Arabidopsis thaliana: one gene and its partners. The protein of the gene in region 3 interacts with the protein of the main gene of each other region in a pairwise test. Each region holds a gene or a part of one and is shown on either strand. Other genes may lie near its edges.

The links.
Region 1: the proteins of KAN (region 3) and ULT1 interact in a two-hybrid assay, tested with the Arabidopsis thaliana proteins (one study listed by BioGRID).
Region 2: the proteins of KAN (region 3) and ULT2 interact in a two-hybrid assay, tested with the Arabidopsis thaliana proteins (one study listed by BioGRID).

Annotation. Positions count from the first base shown.
Region 1 is NC_003075.7:13,983,004-13,988,422, forward strand, and holds ULT1 (Developmental regulator, ULTRAPETALA), read left to right. Parts: upstream 1-2,019; 5' UTR 2,020-2,749; coding exon 2,750-3,036; intron 3,037-3,444; coding exon 3,445-3,789; intron 3,790-3,872; coding exon 3,873-4,047; 3' UTR 4,048-4,439; downstream 4,440-5,419. Other genes in the region: AT4G28180 (uncharacterized protein), read right to left, coding at 1-678; AT4G28200 (U3 small nucleolar RNA-associated-like protein), read right to left, coding at 4,805-4,885, 4,977-5,160, 5,235-5,407. UniProt on the Arabidopsis thaliana protein: Putative transcription factor that acts as a key negative regulator of cell accumulation in shoot and floral meristems. Negatively regulates the size of the WUSCHEL (WUS)-expressing organizing center in inflorescence meristems.
Region 2 is NC_003071.7:8,964,909-8,969,361, reverse strand, and holds ULT2 (Developmental regulator, ULTRAPETALA), read left to right. Parts: upstream 1-2,118; 5' UTR 2,119-2,566; coding exon 2,567-2,768; intron 2,769-3,032; coding exon 3,033-3,517; 3' UTR 3,518-3,806; downstream 3,807-4,453. Other genes in the region: AT2G20830 (folic acid binding / transferase), read left to right, coding at 481-992; AT2G20820 (uncharacterized protein), read right to left, coding at 4,125-4,219, 4,307-4,340. UniProt on the Arabidopsis thaliana protein: Putative transcription factor that acts as a key negative regulator of cell accumulation in shoot and floral meristems. Negatively regulates the size of the WUSCHEL (WUS)-expressing organizing center in inflorescence meristems.
Region 3 is NC_003076.8:5,405,830-5,413,593, reverse strand, and holds KAN (Homeodomain-like superfamily protein), read left to right. Parts: upstream 1-1,827; 5' UTR 1,828-2,501; coding exon 2,502-3,231; intron 3,232-3,335; coding exon 3,336-3,412; intron 3,413-4,294; coding exon 4,295-4,340; intron 4,341-5,217; coding exon 5,218-5,365; intron 5,366-5,919; coding exon 5,920-6,028; intron 6,029-6,127; coding exon 6,128-6,229; 3' UTR 6,230-6,731; downstream 6,732-7,764. Other genes in the region: AT5G16550 (voltage-dependent L-type calcium channel subunit), read right to left, coding at 6,953-7,110, 7,220-7,457, 7,715-7,764. UniProt on the Arabidopsis thaliana protein: Transcriptional repressor that regulates lateral organ polarity. Promotes lateral organ abaxial identity by repressing the adaxial regulator ASYMMETRIC LEAVES2 (AS2) in abaxial cells. Required for abaxial identity in both leaves and carpels.

The DNA of each region.
Region 1 (5,419 bases), on a different chromosome or scaffold from region 3:
TTCTTCTTCCTTCTTCTTCACCTCTGTTGCTCCGTCTTTCTCCGGAGCTCCTACTCGTTTCTTCATGGGGCTTCTTCTTGCAGAACTCGGGGCACGAGTGGCTGGAGACTGTGAGCGACGCCTCGGATTATCCGATAACCCGCTCCGTGGGAGTGGACCCGAATCCACATTTCGCCGGTTGTGAGTAGGGTTTGGTTGACGAGACTGTCTCTCTCGGACTAACCTAGGACGGAGCTGCTTCCCCTGAGGAGAATGTCGTTCTGCCGGAGATCTGAGGACTCTGTCAGGCCTGTTACGGCGAGAGGTGGAAGAAGAAGGAGGAGGAGGACGGTGAGGTTTGCTGAGAGCATCGTCTTCGAGGATGGACGCAGCGGTAGCAGTTGTGGCAGTGGAGTAGCTGTGAGAGACAGAGACGCTGCAAATGTCGGACTTGCTGTGAGAGATCTCCGGAGCTGGAGGTGAGAGAGGAAGAGGAACTTGAGCTTCTGAATCTGAGACTGTTGGTGCGGAAGGAACGAGGTCGGGGACTGGGACAGGGACGGAGATGGGTATGGGGACGGAGACAGAGACTGATTGAACAACGACTTCTTTGACGGATTCTTCTTCGAGGGGTGGAGGAATTTGAGCGGCGGCGACTGGTGGAGCTGTGACTTTTCCGGCGCTGAAGCAGCATCCCATTTTCTTTCTACTTTTGCTAATTCCTCTCTCTCTCTCACTCTGCTCTCTCGAGAGTCGCGAGTCATATACTTGTCAACTTTAATGGGCCTCTTTCTCATGTTGGCCCATATTCACTATGGGCTCGATTATGCTCTTTTGTTTTATCCACTTTGATAAAGAATCTGATATTTGTCTCATTCATTCATATCTTCAAAGACAAAACGCTAGTGTTTGATTTTCTTTAAAATATTCAAAAGAAAATTATGCGGATGGACAAATATCTCGTTAGATAGCGACCCATCATCGTTGGGATAATTTCAACACACAACTGCCGATTGCCTTGGACAGGGACACCGGACATGTAACGACAGTAAGTAAAATGCTTAATACTTATACTACCAACATCTTCCTTTTGGTCGTCAAAAATGTAGTTGAAGATAAGAACTGACCATCATTTTTTAGCTCATCATCCATCCACTATGTTGCATTTACCTCATTGTTGAATAAGAACGCGTTGAGCAAGCTACTTTTTCATCTTTAGTTGGTTTTGTGTTAAATAAAACTTGAAGTGGAAAGAACCTAACATCGTTGCTGCAAACTTGATATTCGAATATTTATAACCACCATCTTAAAAACAAAAACAAAATATGAGAAGTTTAAAAACATGACAAAACTTTGAGTAGAAATCAGAAAGGGGCCAAGGCTCGTAAACTTCTAAACCCCAAGCCCATAATAAATGTTTTGAATCCATAAGTTCACTCCCATCCGCTACTCTTTTTTTCAGTTTCTTGGGAACAACTAGGAGGAAAGAGAGTTTTTAAAGTTCAAAGTAAAGATGTTGTTATACAAAAATTGTGTTGACAACTTATTCATATTCATGTCTCTGTAAAGATGTTGACATAATTATTTCACTTTCTTCAAAAAAAAAAACTGGCGACATTTTCTTTAATTCTCATTTATCCATTATGTACTTTTTGTTTTTGTTTTGCAACCCATCCATTGTGTATGTACTTAAGATAACAACAACAACAAATATACCATATATAAATCATATGGTCTACATACAACACTAGTATCCTCATCCGTATTAAAAAAATGAGTTCCTCGAACACATATAGCTACAAATATAGAGATATGACTTTGGGGTTTGAGCGCATTGCAGAATACCTAACAGGCATAGATGTCAATGACGTCGTCGTCATGTACTTGGTTACTAGTTGTTTTATAGACAACTAGTTGATTAAACCTTTTCTTTTAACAATTAAACAAACCAACCTTTATATATTTCTTCAACTTTTATTTTATATAAAAAAATAGCCAATAGGTGTGGTGGTGAAATGACTCGGTAACCAATGAATCCTGGTGAAAGGGAAGAGCCAAGAATTTGCAGAACCTCAAAGGAAAAAAAAAGGACCTTTGAAAATTACAAAATCAAGAACTTCTTGAAAAGAAGTAAGTACAAGAAATAGAAAAAGGAGTTATGACATTATAAAACCAAAGAGGAACCTGAAACAATTGACACAACCCTATTCCTCAACTTCTTCTCTCTTATGTCTTATCAAAAGCCTCTCACCCACCGCCTCTGTTCCTGCTCCTCTTATCAACCATAGAAATTCTCTCTCTCTTCCCTATATACAATACAATGTTATGTAGGTGATACATACTATAACATAGTTGTATATAAACATTAATATAATGGAGAGGTCCCATGCCCCCACGAGTTTTGTTTTGTTGGCCAGCTAATTCGCATCCTTTTTGTTTTGTTTGTATAAGAGAGTTTCTTTGTTACTTACTATAACCACAAGACCACAAGAAGGCCAAAGAGAGGCTAAACTAAAAGAGCTCTCTTTCTAATTTATTTCTCTCTCTTCTCTTCTCCCGAAAAGCCCTTAATAAGCTTTTGCTTTGATATCAGATCTCTCTTACGGCTTTTGAGATGCGTGCTCCTTTAGGGCTTTCCTTTTATACCCCAAAACGAGGCCTTTCCTTCTTCTCTCATCTCCTAATTCTACCCTCTTCCTCTTCCTCTTCCTTCTCTCTCTCTTCTCATTCTCCTCATACGCTATAAGGAGAAAATCTCAGAGAGAGAGTGATGGCGAACAATGAGGGAGAGATGCAATGTGGGTCCATGTTGTTTAAGCAAGAGGAGCTACAAGAGATGAGTGGGGTCAATGTTGGTGGCGATTACGTTGAGGTCATGTGTGGTTGTACCAGTCACCGATACGGCGATGCTGTTGCTAGACTTAGGGTTTTCCCCACCGGTGACCTTGAAATCACCTGCGAATGCACACCTGGTTGCGATGAAGGTCTCTCTTTTTTTGTCTCTACTGTCTCTTTCTCGTGTCTTTCTGATGCTTTTGGGAAAATGGGTTTTGATTTGTGTGCATGTTACATGTGAATGTGTGTGAGATTAAACGTTTGTCTCTGTCTAGCTACTATCACATTGGGCTGGTAAAGCTAGGGTCTTTAGCATGATTACATATTTATCAATGAGTCTTAGTGTATGCTAGCTAGATCCGTTCTTGTAGAAAATGAAATGACTTGATTTGCCACAGTAATGTTTTAGGCTGTCTGTTTATCTGTAAATGGTAATGCGTCTCTTTGTTACTGGCCAAGTGGTAGCTTTATTGACAAATGATATGTCTCGCTTAGCTGTACGTGTATGTCAAAGTTTGATGCAACCTAGTTCTTGTGGTATCTTGTAGCTAACAATTCCATCTCTAGCTTATTTGGTATAGATGCTCATTTAGAGCTCTCTTTGAAAGTAAAAGTGACTGACTTGAACAGTTTTGATTGTATGATGCTAGACAAGTTGACACCAGCTGCATTCGAGAAGCATTCTGGAAGAGAAACGGCAAGGAAGTGGAAAAACAATGTGTGGGTTATCATTGGGGGCGAAAAGGTTCCATTGTCAAAGACAGTATTGCTCAAGTACTACAATGAATCATCAAAGAAGTGCAGTAGATCAAACAGATCACAAGGTGCCAAAGTTTGCCATAGAGATGAGTTTGTTGGGTGTAACGATTGTGGTAAAGAGAGGAGGTTCAGGCTGAGGAGCAGAGACGAATGCCGCTTGCACCACAATGCAATGGGTGATCCAAACTGGAAATGCTCAGATTTCCCATACGACAAGTAGGTGTCTTTTGTTGTCCTTGTATGTACTTAAGTTTGATGCAAATGATGTATTATATCAATGAATGGTGTGGTGGTCGTAGGATAACATGTGAGGAGGAAGAAGAGAGAGGGAGCAGGAAGGTGTACAGAGGGTGCACACGTTCACCTAGTTGCAAAGGCTGCACTTCCTGCGTCTGTTTTGGCTGCGAGTTATGCCGTTTCTCTGAGTGTACTTGCCAGACTTGTGTCGACTTCACCAGCAATGTCAAAGCTTGAAGAAGGCAGTCCATTAAGAAAAGAAAAAAAAATGTCTGTCTCAGACTTTGTTCGTTGCATTTAATAACTTATTCTAAAACTCCAAACAGTTAATTATCTTATCTATGGGTTGTGAATGGAGCAATTGAAAAAAAAGTAGAAAAAGTTGATTTCCAAGAAGAACATGCAGACGAGCATGCCTGAGTTTAGTGCATGTCTAGATTTTTGGCTAGTGGCAGGGAAAAGTGTTATTAATAGTTTGTTGTTACTCTTTATTTTATTAGCTGTTGACAGCTTTGTGAGACGAAGTTGTCAATGGCACAGCTACTCGGTCTGTGATTTAGCCATTTAGGAGATGGGACATGGAAAGAGACATTTTCTTAATACCCAAAAAGCCCTGACGTCTTGTTTTGAACACAGTAACCATATGGGATCCCTTAAGTGATGTATACTTTTATTATCAACAACAAACATTAGAATCATAAAGACCAAGTCGTCACCAGGTAAAGAGGATACGAGAATAAATTCATCAGAAACATGTGAAACATGTGAAACGTGAAACCAAAGACGTAGAGGCATGTATGAACTTCAACATGTTTTTGTATCAAAAAAGTGTTTTAGAGTATAACTAGACTCATAAAGTAGTACATCGACTCCTGTTCTGTTACAACCAAAATTCATATCTTAAGGATCACATAACTGAAACCTGCATCCACAAATACGAGGCAAACATAGTGTTTCCTTCATCATACATACTAGACTACCTATAAATCAGAGATCAAACTATGAAATCCGCGGATTCATTCAGAGTCTTTCTCGCACGCCAATACACTCCATTGGCTGTCTCTGATGTTCCCAGCTGCAATAAACATCAGAAAGATTGTCAGTTAGCATACTTGACACTAAGTCATAGTATTGGTTTTGGTCAGGGTATTAAGAATCCACTTTACCTTTGTCTCCAATGAGTAGTAATTCTTCCACAGCTCCACGTCTTGACCGTAACTTGCAACAGCAGAATCATACAGCTTCCGGGCATTACTGAGACCATCTTTATCACCTACTGATATGAGGTTGGTCTCTATTTCAATGCAACCTTTGTATAGAACAAGACTGGGACCAGGAAGAGCCAAGAACCTGCAGTTTTACGGTAACAGTGGTGAGAATAAAGTCCATGTGTGACTCAAGGGACTGGAGGAGTAGTGACTCACCTCTTGTATATCTTCCTCGCACTGTGGGCCCCTTTTGTTTCAAGAACAAATTTCACCACTGTGGAAGCAAGAGAAAACACATGGTCGCTCCCATGGCTTTTGGTTGCTGATAGGATGGACATCTCTACAAGTTTGTCCAAATAAGTTCGCTGATGAGCAAAGAAATTAAAAGCCTGCAATACAAT
Region 2 (4,453 bases), on a different chromosome or scaffold from region 3:
AGATACTTATCAAGCTAAGAGCAGAACATTGTTGCTATGCTGCTGTTGATGTGTACTTTGTGATAAGCCATTGAACATGGAAGTCTATGAGCAATGCTCTGCTCTTATAAAAATGACTAGCCATAGAACATGAAGTTTGTAGCAATGCTCTGCTCTCTGCTGTTATCAAGATAAGAACAGAGCATTGTTTGTCTGCTGTACTTTGTGATAGGCAGAGTGATGTTCTGTTTTTACTATCTCATTATCTCTAGGCCATAGAATATGGAAGTCTTTGTAGCAATGATCTGCTCTCTGCTCTTATCAAGATAAGAACAGAGTATTGCTTGTATGGTGTAGTTGTTGTGTACGTTGTAATAGGCAAAGTGATGCCCTGTGTTTAAAATCTCATCTTCGTCTAGGCCATAGAACTTGGAAGTCTTTGTAGCAATCTCTATATTGATATGTGGACTGGACTGAGATATATGACCCACCTTGGTGCAGTTCCTACATATCTCTATGGAGCAGCAGAAAAGGAGCAGTGCACCCTGGATTCGATCAGAAGAAAGCTGGGGTACTTCAAGGCAAACAGGGAGGGACATGAATGGGCAGGTGGGTTTGACCTGGAGATGGTGCCACTGAAGCCAGACGCAGGGCCACAAGAGGTGAGCAAAGCCAAAGGGGTTGTAGCGGTTGGGGCGTGTGGGTGGGTAAGTAACTATAACGTGCCTGTCATGTCAAACGATCTCAAGGCAGTGAGGAGAATAGCGAGGAAGACGAGCGAGAGAGGAGGGGGCTTGGCTTCAGTGCAGACAATGGCGCTGGTGCACGGGGAAGGAGTCATAGAGGTTGCCTGTAACTTGTTGAATCCAAGCCAAGTGGGGGGAGATGAAGTACAGGGACTGATCGAGAGGCTTGGCAGAGAGGAAGGTCTGCTTGTGGGAAAAGGGTATTATACGGACTATACACCTGACCAGATCGTTGAAAGATATATGGACTTGCTCAACAATTCATAAATTTCAAAGTAAAAAAAGTAAAAACAGTATGATGTTGTCATTCTTAGAACGTATTATTACCGACATCGATCATTTATCTTCATTTTGTGTTTAGATGTGATATACATTGCCATGAGTGACAATTGAAATTAGCAAAGATTAAATAAAAAGTGAAATGATAAAATGATGGTACGTTCATTGAGAGGCCAAAACATCAGATCTCATCATTGGTGTTTTTCCTCAACAACTGTGAGAGATTTGTTTTGTGTAGCCTCGTCTTTTGCCGTGGTTCTTAAAGCTGTTGTTTTCTTAGCATTTTGCCTTGTTTTGCATATATCTATATGGCAATGCATGCAAGTCATTAACTAATGTATAGTGAACTATTGGTAGCATCGTGACCATGTGGTAATTAACAATCTTTGTCCTTCAAATTTATATATATGGAGGTTGTGGTCTATATGATTTGTTAAAGTGAAAAGACAACTGGTTTTCTATTAATTTGGTCGTAGGTGAAATTCGAGGGTCAAAAGTCTCTAAAAACAACGTGGATGAGGTGGAGTTTGGTGCGGCTCGTTATTGACTTGAGTTCTTCTTGGTCATTTTTTTGGGTTTGCAACAAGGGGAAGGAGGTTAAAAGAACATTTATCTTTTTCTGTTTTATCACTAATTATTGTGTTGTTTTATTTGATATAATCAATCAATAGGTTAAAAGAACAAGAATAAATTAAAAAATTCGTCAAAAACATCAAAACGAGAACTAATTTGAAACACAATTTAACTTCTAAACGACAACTAATTTGAAACGGAAGGAGTATACGTTACATTTAGACAAAAAAAATGTAATTTATGACATGCCTACACACATTGACGTAGACAATTAAAGGTTAGGTGTGTCCTTGTATATGTGTATACATGTACATACATATGTATGGGCACATTGGAGTTGGGCCGCAATGGAGAATAAGGACCAGATGCGACTATCATACACCTAACTCTTAAGAAAAAAAGCATTATTTGTGTACATAAATGGTAGACCCATGAAACCTGTAGAGCTCAAAAGTCACAAGTAAAAGAGAGAAAAGAAAGAAGAGAAGAGGTAATTACATGTGGGTTTAGAGAACAACTTTACTTAATCTCTTCTCTTTTATCATCAACCAACCATATATGGACAATTACAAGAACACATCTATGTATGAACGTTAACGTAGATAATATTATAAAATATTATTCTAAAAATTAAAAGATTCACAATTCCCATGCCTCACGACTTGTATTTTTCTTTGGCCACCTAATTTGCATCCATCATCTCTCTGTCTCTATAGAGAGTTTCTTTCAAATCCCCTAAAACCTAGAAAAACACCAAAGTCTCTCTCTCTTTTTGTTTTACTCCAAAAGCCTTTTACCTTTGAGATTTTTCTATATAATTGTCAGATCCTTCGTTACTACTGATGCTAGCTCCTTTAGGGCTTTTTCTCGTTTACTCATGTCAAATTACCTTCTTGTCCCTTGGTGTTTAGGGCTCTGATCCTATATAATAATACTTCATAGGAAGGAGAAGGAGCCCTTCGTCGTGGTTTACTTGGTCCCGATCGGAGATGGAGAGAGAATGTGGGTCGAAGGAGTTGTTCAGCAAAGAGGAGCTACAAGAAATAAGTGGAGTCCATGTGGGAGACGATTACGTCGAGGTCATGTGTGGCTGCACCAGCCACCGTTACGGAGACGCCGTTGCGAGGCTTAAGATATTTTCAGATGGAGAACTTCAAATCACCTGCCAATGCACTCCTGCTTGTCTCGAAGGTTCCTCTTCTTCTCTCTCACATCTTTCTATATGCATGTTCCATGTGAATGTGTATGGATTCATGATAGTGTCAAGAATGCAATGTAACTGTTCTTTGGCCTCGGTGAACTATGAGGCTGCTTGTATTTGCTAGATGTGATATGTTTCATGCAGTCTTTTAGAGTGTGGGATAACCTTACATTGTAATGTATCTCCATTTTATATCACAAGTTCGAGTTTCTTTCAAAGTGATCTGATTGACAGCTTTCATTCTATGATGGTAGACAAGTTGACGCCTGCTGCCTTCGAGAAGCATTCTGAGAGAGAAACCTCTAGAAACTGGAGGAACAATGTTTGGGTGTTCATTGAAGGAGACAAGGTTCCGCTTTCAAAGACAGTGTTGCTCAGATACTACAACAAAGCATTGAAGAACTCTAACGTATCGAAAGTCATTCATCGGGATGAGTTTGTTGGGTGCAGCACATGCGGGAAGGAGAGGAGGTTCAGATTGAGGAGCAGAGGGGAATGCCGGATGCACCATGATGCAATTGCTGAGCCTAATTGGAAGTGTTGCGATTACCCATACGACAAGATAACATGCGAGGAGGAGGAAGAAAGAGGGAGCAGGAAAGTGTTCAGAGGTTGCACTCGCTCACCGTCCTGCAAAGGCTGCACTTCTTGCGTCTGCTTCGGCTGCAAGCTCTGCCGTTTCTCTGATTGTAACTGCCAGACTTGCCTCGATTTCACCACCAATGCCAAACCCATTTGACTTCATTTCTCTAACTTATTTAATTCTTCTGCAAAAACTTGTAATGTATGCTCTGCATTTTCTTTAATCAGTAGCTTGTTACACCTGTTATGCGAGTGGAGAGACCAAGTAGGGATCACATACTGGAAAAAAAACCGACTTGGGGCTTGGAAAACTAACTTAGCACCACTACGAGGACATGAATCTAATCTAAATTCAACCATATAACCTCGGCAAATACACACAAGGCAGGAGATCGATAACAAGAAGCAAGCAGTGACTGTAATAGTATGCTGAATAAACTATGTCAAGAATAAAAGCATGAGACAAGAGCAGCTACAAACATTTGGATTAGCCAATATGTACTTGGAAGGTGGACGACATACATGGAGAAATACCTCCAACAAAAATTGGTATCCAAACCAGACAAATAGAATGGAAGGAAATAGCTCGAAAGCATATATCAACATACGTAGTGAGACAATGATTTGCTTAAATCCTGTCTGTTTCAAACATAGGATATTATGAAACACAAAACTGTCAAGAATTTATCCATTGCAGACATCATCAGATCTCAAAAGTGATGCAAATTATTTTCAAAATGAAACACAAGACCAGTCACAATCTGCTAAAAGGGAAAACAAAGTGCATGAGAATGAGAGGTCTCTCCATAAAAGGTCTTCCTGGTGACAATGAAACTCATTGTGTACTCTCCACAGGCGTCTGCAAAAAAAACTATGTATAAGGGAAGGAACCCGAAGCCTCTAGGCAATGGAAGAAGAGCAAGAGCTGAAGAGCAAGAGTAAGTACCTCTTTTTTTCCCCCAGTGGCGAGCTTGTATCCACTGTAGAAAAGTAAGCCCCAGCCAGACAGAGAAATAAGCACAAACTGCAGATTGGTCAGGTAACAGAAGGAATCAATTCAACAAAAAATCACAGCTTTCATTAACAAAAACAC
Region 3 (7,764 bases):
GCATACTGTACTTCTTTACTTTCCAATAATTAAAATTTATATCTAATAAGAAAAATATATATTACTGTATAATCAACGAATAAAATCTCACTTATTTAAATTTCCTGATATATAAACATAGTCTTACAATTTATCATATTTTTATTTCAAGGCATTAATGATTTGTCGAGATGTTGTATTGATATGGTCATGTGAGGAGTGAATAGTTTATTTTTTTTCTTAGAAGACAATTTAAAGAAAATTAGAAAAGAGTTATTAAATTGAGAAGGAATATTTGGGAGAATGAAAAGGGAATTAGAAGCAAATATTTAGGTTCTTTAGGGTTCACTTGTTTTTGTTTATTAAGGGAAACAAACAAAATCCACTTTCTGGCTGAGTATTTTCTTAGGTCTAATATATATTTAACTTCACGTATAATCTAAAAGCATGCATGTTACGTTACAATAATTGATCGAATTCTTTATATGACACTTGGTTTATATACGTACGAGGGCACCTTGTATTGTACACACGTATGCATATATGTATGTATTTGAAGAGAAAGATACTTTCTAAGACAATAATTTCCGTACCTTTGGAAGGCAAAACACAGAGTTTATATATTCCAAATTAAAAGTGGGATAAAAAAATATAATAATTCTTTGACAAAAACATACGAATAGTTAAATACTATTCAATTTTGTATATTTTTCATTATTTTTCAGTATGACATATTTCTGTTTCACAGTAGATAAAGTCAACTCCATAATTTTTTTTGTAGAATTATAAACGAACAATGTGAATGTAAAAATGTCGAGTACAAAGAAAACAGAAACACTAGAATGCATACATTATTACATTCGACACAAACAAGTCAAAAATATATATAAATCTGCCTAATTTTATTTCTTTTCAAGTACGTATTTTAAAGCGACATGTATATGACTTCGATTTGGCTCTAATTGATAGACAACACAAAACGGTCAAACAAGTAGCCGGTTGATATTGTAGTCACATCTCTAGGAACTAAATGTCTATACGAGCTATTCATAAACTCAAGAACGTACTGATATTTAATGTATATTTATCTCTTTAGGTATAGTTGAACAATCTACGGTCAGAAACTTGAATTTGTTTGATTCCAAAATCGTATAAGGAATTATTATAATAAGATGTGAATAGAGAGTGAAGTGAGAAGCGAAGAGAGTGGGGGAGAAAATAAAAAAGGAGTCAGAGAGGACACAGTCTCTTTCTCTCTCTCAAGTCTCAACATATGTATCCCGTCGTCTCCGGGGTACCAAAATCAAAGCACTCTCTCTTTTTTTATTTTATTTTTTTTTGGTTATAATGAAACTTTTTATTTATTTTAGAATAGGTCTTGTGTTTGTTTTTTTCTTCTTGTTATTTATTTATTTAATTTAATTTTGGCTTTTGCTTTGACTATAGATTAGATAGGACAGAAGAGAGCGACCCTTTATTCTCTCTCCTCTTGTACTCTTCTCCAACATTTTTAATTATTATTCTTCATGATAATCTGTGAACATTATTATTTTAAAGATCAATTGAGTTTTTGATTTATTACTCAAATTGTTAAGGTTTTAATGGATGATAATCGTATTAATTTTTATTGTTAAAAGTTGTATGCTTTTCATCTATGAAATTGGTCGATTATTAAATACACTTTACATTTGAAAATTTCATCTACTAAATTGATAGAAAACAAGATTTATTTTGCTATTATTCTTCAACTTTATCTATGGAAATCAAAATTTCAGTAGTTTAAACGAATAAACTAAAACATGAAATCAATTAATCTAGCCGTAAAATAATTTATATTATATTGATAGATGGGTTTACTTGTTGAAAGGTGAAAAAGACAAATTGAAATACCATCCCAAAATAAAATAAAAAGCTTCCAATATTTGGAATATAGCGAATGACAATATTACCCTTTCTCAACTATCGTTTTCCAAGATATACTCTCGAGGAACAACATCTCACACATACACATACACATACATGTACATGAACGAACACACATATATCTCTCTCTCTTACCTGTTTTTAATTTTCCTGGATTTAGTTTTATTCCTTTTTTCTCTTCTGCCTTTGCTTCACAACACACATACCTCTCTCTATCTCTCTCTTCCTTCTTTTTCTCTCTCTCTGCGTCTTACTTTGAGCATGTTTGTTTCTTCAAGAAGATCATCACTCAACTTCTCTCTCTTCTTCTAAGCTTCTCTTTAACTTCATCTCTCTCACTTTCTCCTTTCTTTCTGAGATATAGAGAGAGAAAGAGAACAAAAAAAATATCAAATCTTTCAGACACCCTTTTGACTTCTTTGCCTAAAGAATCTCTCTGCTTTCTCTTCTCCTTAGAGAAAATCATTTTAAATTCCTAAGCAAAACCCTCAGGAGAAAAAAAAAACAAAAGAATAGTCATCATCATCATCACCATCATCATCCTTATCATCATCAACAACTTCAGTGGCAGCAATAGCAAGAGAAAGGTTTCTTTAATTATGTCTATGGAAGGTGTTTTTCTAGAGAAAACCAAAACAAACACAACAACTACTCTCCCTGATCTATCTCTCCACATCAGTCTCCCAGATATTCATCAATACCATCACAATGAATCTTCTAAAGAATCTTCAAGAAGATCCTCCCAACTCGAAAACAACAACCGATCGTCCAACTTTGAACTCTCTTTATCTCATCATAACCATCCAACAGCAAGAATCTTCCATTGTCCTGATCGAAGAACCCTTAATCTTCCTCATCAGCAGCATTACAACAACCCTATCATCAATGGTGTTCATCAAAGGGTCGATGAATCCGAGATTAGTAATCTCCACCGTCCAATTAGAGGCATCCCGGTCTATCACAACCGTTCATTCCCTTTCCACCAACAAAACTCTTCATTACCTTCTCTTGGAGGAGGAGACATGGATCAAATCTCAATCTTAAACTCATCTTCCGGCTACAACAACGCTTACCGATCATTACAATCTTCCCCGAGGCTTAAAGGTGTTCCTTTGCATCATCATCATCATCATAATCAGTATGGAGTCGTTGGATCTTCAGATTCGTCTTCTCCTCATCACCATAACCATCATCATCATGGGATGATCAGATCAAGATTCTTGCCTAAGATGCCGACAAAGCGAAGCATGAGAGCTCCAAGGATGCGTTGGACTAGTAGCCTCCACGCGCGGTTTGTTCACGCTGTTGAGCTTCTAGGCGGCCATGAAAGTACACATTTATATCATAATCACATTCTAATGATCATTCCCATTTTTCTTCACTTTATTCTCAAAGTCTTAAATCTTTTATTCTTGTTGTTGTTGTGATTCTAGGAGCAACTCCAAAGTCGGTTCTTGAGCTCATGGATGTAAAAGACTTAACTTTAGCACATGTGAAGAGCCATTTGCAGGTATAATCTATACTCTATTTGAAATTAAATTAGACACAACAAAGAATCAATTTTTATTTGTTAATTTAGGTTTAATCTAGTCGAGTTAGTTCGTTACCAATCAAGATTTTCTATAATTAGGGATATTTCATAGTTTTCATCACCATCATGTCACTCTCTTCTCCTTTGCGTTTTGCACAAAAACAGCTGAATCAAGAAACAAGGTTTTTGTGTACGTATATATCATCAGAGCAATGAATAGAGCTCCAATTCTGATGTGTTACTTTTATTTTCTTGTTTTGTCTTTGCTTTAAGTTTAGTCATATTTTGGAAGAGATGGCACAATTGCCAAGAAAATTGAAGCAGTTGAATGAATTTAAAGAGAGAAAAAGAGAGAGTAGTTATAGCTTTAAGTGACTGAAACCTTTCAGAGAATTATTAAACAATGGAGAATTGAGATGATAGATAGAAGTTATTTTGGATTATAATTCATTTTTTCTTTTTTAAATTAGGAAGAGGGGACAAAAGTAGTCATCATTACTCAATGATAATAATACAATCTTTCTATTACTCAACCTTCTTTCAGACATCAACCTCGTGGTCTTAAAATCATAAATAATTAATTATATATACATCATCAGTTCCAAGACAAACCCAGAAAACCACACATATGTACTACATATATTATTTATTTAATAATATAAAGTTCATATGTGTCTGCATATATCTCTCCAGTTTGTCATCTGTAATTCTGTATCACATTATACAAAAATAAATCTATTTAGTTTATCAGTATCTTTTGTCCGATATTTATTTTGGTTTTTTCCTGTGTCTTTAATTGGATTTATGGTTTATTCTAGTTTTAGAGCTCTCATCATGCCTTTAATTTTTTTTTTTTTGCAGATGTATCGAACTGTTAAGACCACTAACAAGCCTGCTGCTTCATCAGGTACGTGTGATTCCTTTACACACACACACACATATAATGTTATGCATATTCACATTTCTTTAGTATAGCTTTTTTCAGCTTTATATATGCTAAAGAAATGGTACTGGCTTTTAATAAGAAAGATATACAATTCACCAAAAAATAACATAAGACAGATATACAATAAAGCTTAGGATTCTCCACCAGAATTTTATAGAAATGGAGGTCCAATATAATCACTATTATAGCTTTTTTTGACTACAATATTTATAAGAAATTAGTTCTCAATCAGAATTTGAAGCTGTGATTCGATATTTGTATGTATGTAGAGATATAATGACGTGAAATTATTTCTGTTATTTTTACTATTTGATTCTACTATTTCTACTATTCCCTTTCCCCAAAATAATAAAAAACGAGCCCTAAGATATTGGTCAAGCTCAAGGCTTTTATCCTTCCTTTGATTGAACCCTAAAGTTGAGTGGTCAAAGTTCAAAGCAAACCAAACAAACATATATCCCCAATATTGATGTTCTCTAAGAAAAAAAAATCGAGTAAAAGATTAAATTTAAAACGTGTGAAGTGTAAACTCATATCCAAGCAAAGTTCATGAATTAAGAATAAAGAAAAACCACTTGTTTCATATGGATTTTCTTTAACCAATTAAAAGTTTATTTGGCACAATTTTCGAGTCTGTAAAACTATTTTTTGAGACACATATTAGGTTGGTCAACACGAAATGCTGAAATTATTTTTTAAGAAAAACAATTTCTTCACTGCATTGTCTTTTACAAAAAAGCTTACAAGAATCGTTCAGTTTTAAATGAGATTCCTTATAGGGTATAAGTGATTGATTTGAGACAACGAAACTTGATAAAAAGTTAAAATAAAATTTCAGATGGGTCAGGAGAAGAAGAAATGGGCATAAATGGAAACGAAGTTCATCATCAATCATCGACGGATCAAAGGGCACAATCTGATGATACTTCTCTTCATCAAGAAACTGACATTTCTTCCACACAACCTCGTTGGAGTAACTCTTCACGGTACGTTTACGTATATACGTACATGTATTATACACACGATAAGTATATATAAACATTAGGTAAGAATAAGATTGACGAAATTTGAGATAGGGTTTAGGGTTCTCTCACCTAATTGTTCCTACTTCCTACCAAGTAATTCATACGACAATTGTTTGGTTTATCCCACATCTATCCATTTTCTTCTAACAAAAATAGTTTTTAGATGATATTTTAAGTTTGTTTTCGTTCAGTTTAAGGGGAAAAAATTTGAGTGATGGTTTTGGTTACAATGAGATGAAATTGGTTAGGGTTTATGGCTGATGAACTTTAATTATATGTACCAAGTTTTTTTTTTTAATTATAATTTGGTTTGGGTTCTTAAGATTCATCTAGGAAGACTAGGATAAACGAATTTTGCTTCATAAGTATGACATGTAGATTGTGGTCATATAGCAAGTTGCAAAAAAACGCAATTTGTGTGTAGTGATTTTTATTTTATTTTTAGGGCATCTATACATCAATAAATACAATTTGTCCTTAATTTGTTTTCTTTCTTTTCTTAAATCATAAAATAGAGAGACATGGCCATTAAGTAATAACTGCTCAAGCGACATAGATACAATGATCAGAACTTCATCAACATCAATGATCTCTCATTATCAAAGATCCAGCATTCAAAATCAGGTTCTGATAATTCCCATCTAATCATATTTGTATAGATAGATATTGCCTTTCTTAGTGTTTTTTTTGTCCTTTAATCTAATATAAAGTTAAAATTGGCAGGAGCAAAGGTCGAATGATCAAGCAAAGAGGTGTGGAAATCTTAGTTGTGAAAATCCAAGTTTGGAGTTTACATTAGGCAGACCAGATTGGCACGAGAAATGACTTTCTTGATCAATTTGGATTTTTATATATATTGGATTTTTTATTTTTTTGTTTCATCTTTCTCTCTCTATATATACTCAGAAACATGTATGCAGTATATATCTTTGTGACGATGAAATTCTCAGCGTAAAAGAAGGAGAACACGTAGAGAGCCAAGCTGCTCAAGAGTGTTGATTTTTGCACAGAGAGAGAGAATATCACTACCAAAATGAAGAAATTTGGAGGTTCCTCTTCTCAAGTTCCATTGATGATTTGATTATAAAGTGGATGATCAATGTATGAGTTTTTGTTTTTGGGTTTTCGGGTTTTTAGTTTTTTGAGGTTGATCTGGTGGTGTGATCATAAGTTATATAATTGGAAGATCATCAAAATGTGGTGAAAGTTTGGATATTTTTTTGAAAGCCTCTTGGTTGGCTAGAGGGTTTCAAGTTTTTTTTTTTTTTTTTGCAGCCGAAATGTAGAGAGAGGGAGAGATCTGAGTTGAGATTTCATATGGATACTGATCATTATTCTTTCTTAAGTACATAAAACACACAATGTATGCATACATAGATCCAAAAATCCGTAGACATTGATCACAAAATGTTTCAAGTTGCATTTTGAAATATTCTTATCATTCTTTCTCTGCTTCTTCACAACAAACTCCATAGATCATATTTATATCAAGCTTCCATTAACAACCAAAAGTCGGGGTTTATTTACAAACGCGGTAAGGACGGATTCTCAGTTGGTTGATTCGATGTTTACCTCCCGGTCTTGGTGTTGATGACGACTGATAGTGTTACCTGAAATGGCTGATCCCACCACTGAAACCGATTGCTTAGCCAAGCGTAGGCTTCCTCTTGTTCCCAACCACACCGCATAGAAAAACCCAATCCAACCTGATCCAATACCAAATTCATTTCATTCTTCAATACATATAGGAAGTAACTTGGAGTGTCACTCATTACAAGATTCCAAAACAGAATCAGAGCAGAGTATATAACCAACCTGAAGCTATTAAGACAGAAACGACAGCAGAAACTGTAGCGGTAGAGATGACGAATGCAGCAACGGATAAGGCTCCAATGTAAACACCAGTCAAGCAGAGAAAGAAGAGTGCCAAGAAGCCACCAGCAACAGCAAGTGAAATCAGAAGAGAGATTATGATAGCATTGGCTGTTGCAGCTACAAAGAAGAGTGTGAATACAACCAAAGCCATTGTTGTCAAAAGAACTATTGTTCCCATCTGCAACAACAATAACAAGATAATAACTAATCAACATATAGTCTCAGACACCCACGAAATTTGGCTCAAATGGGTTCAATAAAGCACTAAACTTTTCAATAAAGTACCAAACTTTTCATCAATGGTAAAGAGTTACAGAACCAAGACGATTTAGGGCACAATACGTTAATTTACTTGAGGAAATCGAATTGAAGATAATGGAAGGCTAGATTGAAAATGAAATTCAGTCTCTAATTAGGTTCAATCATTCTACTTACAGTGATGACAAGCAGAGCACGAAGCGAGCTGCCTCTACGAGTCCAGAGAA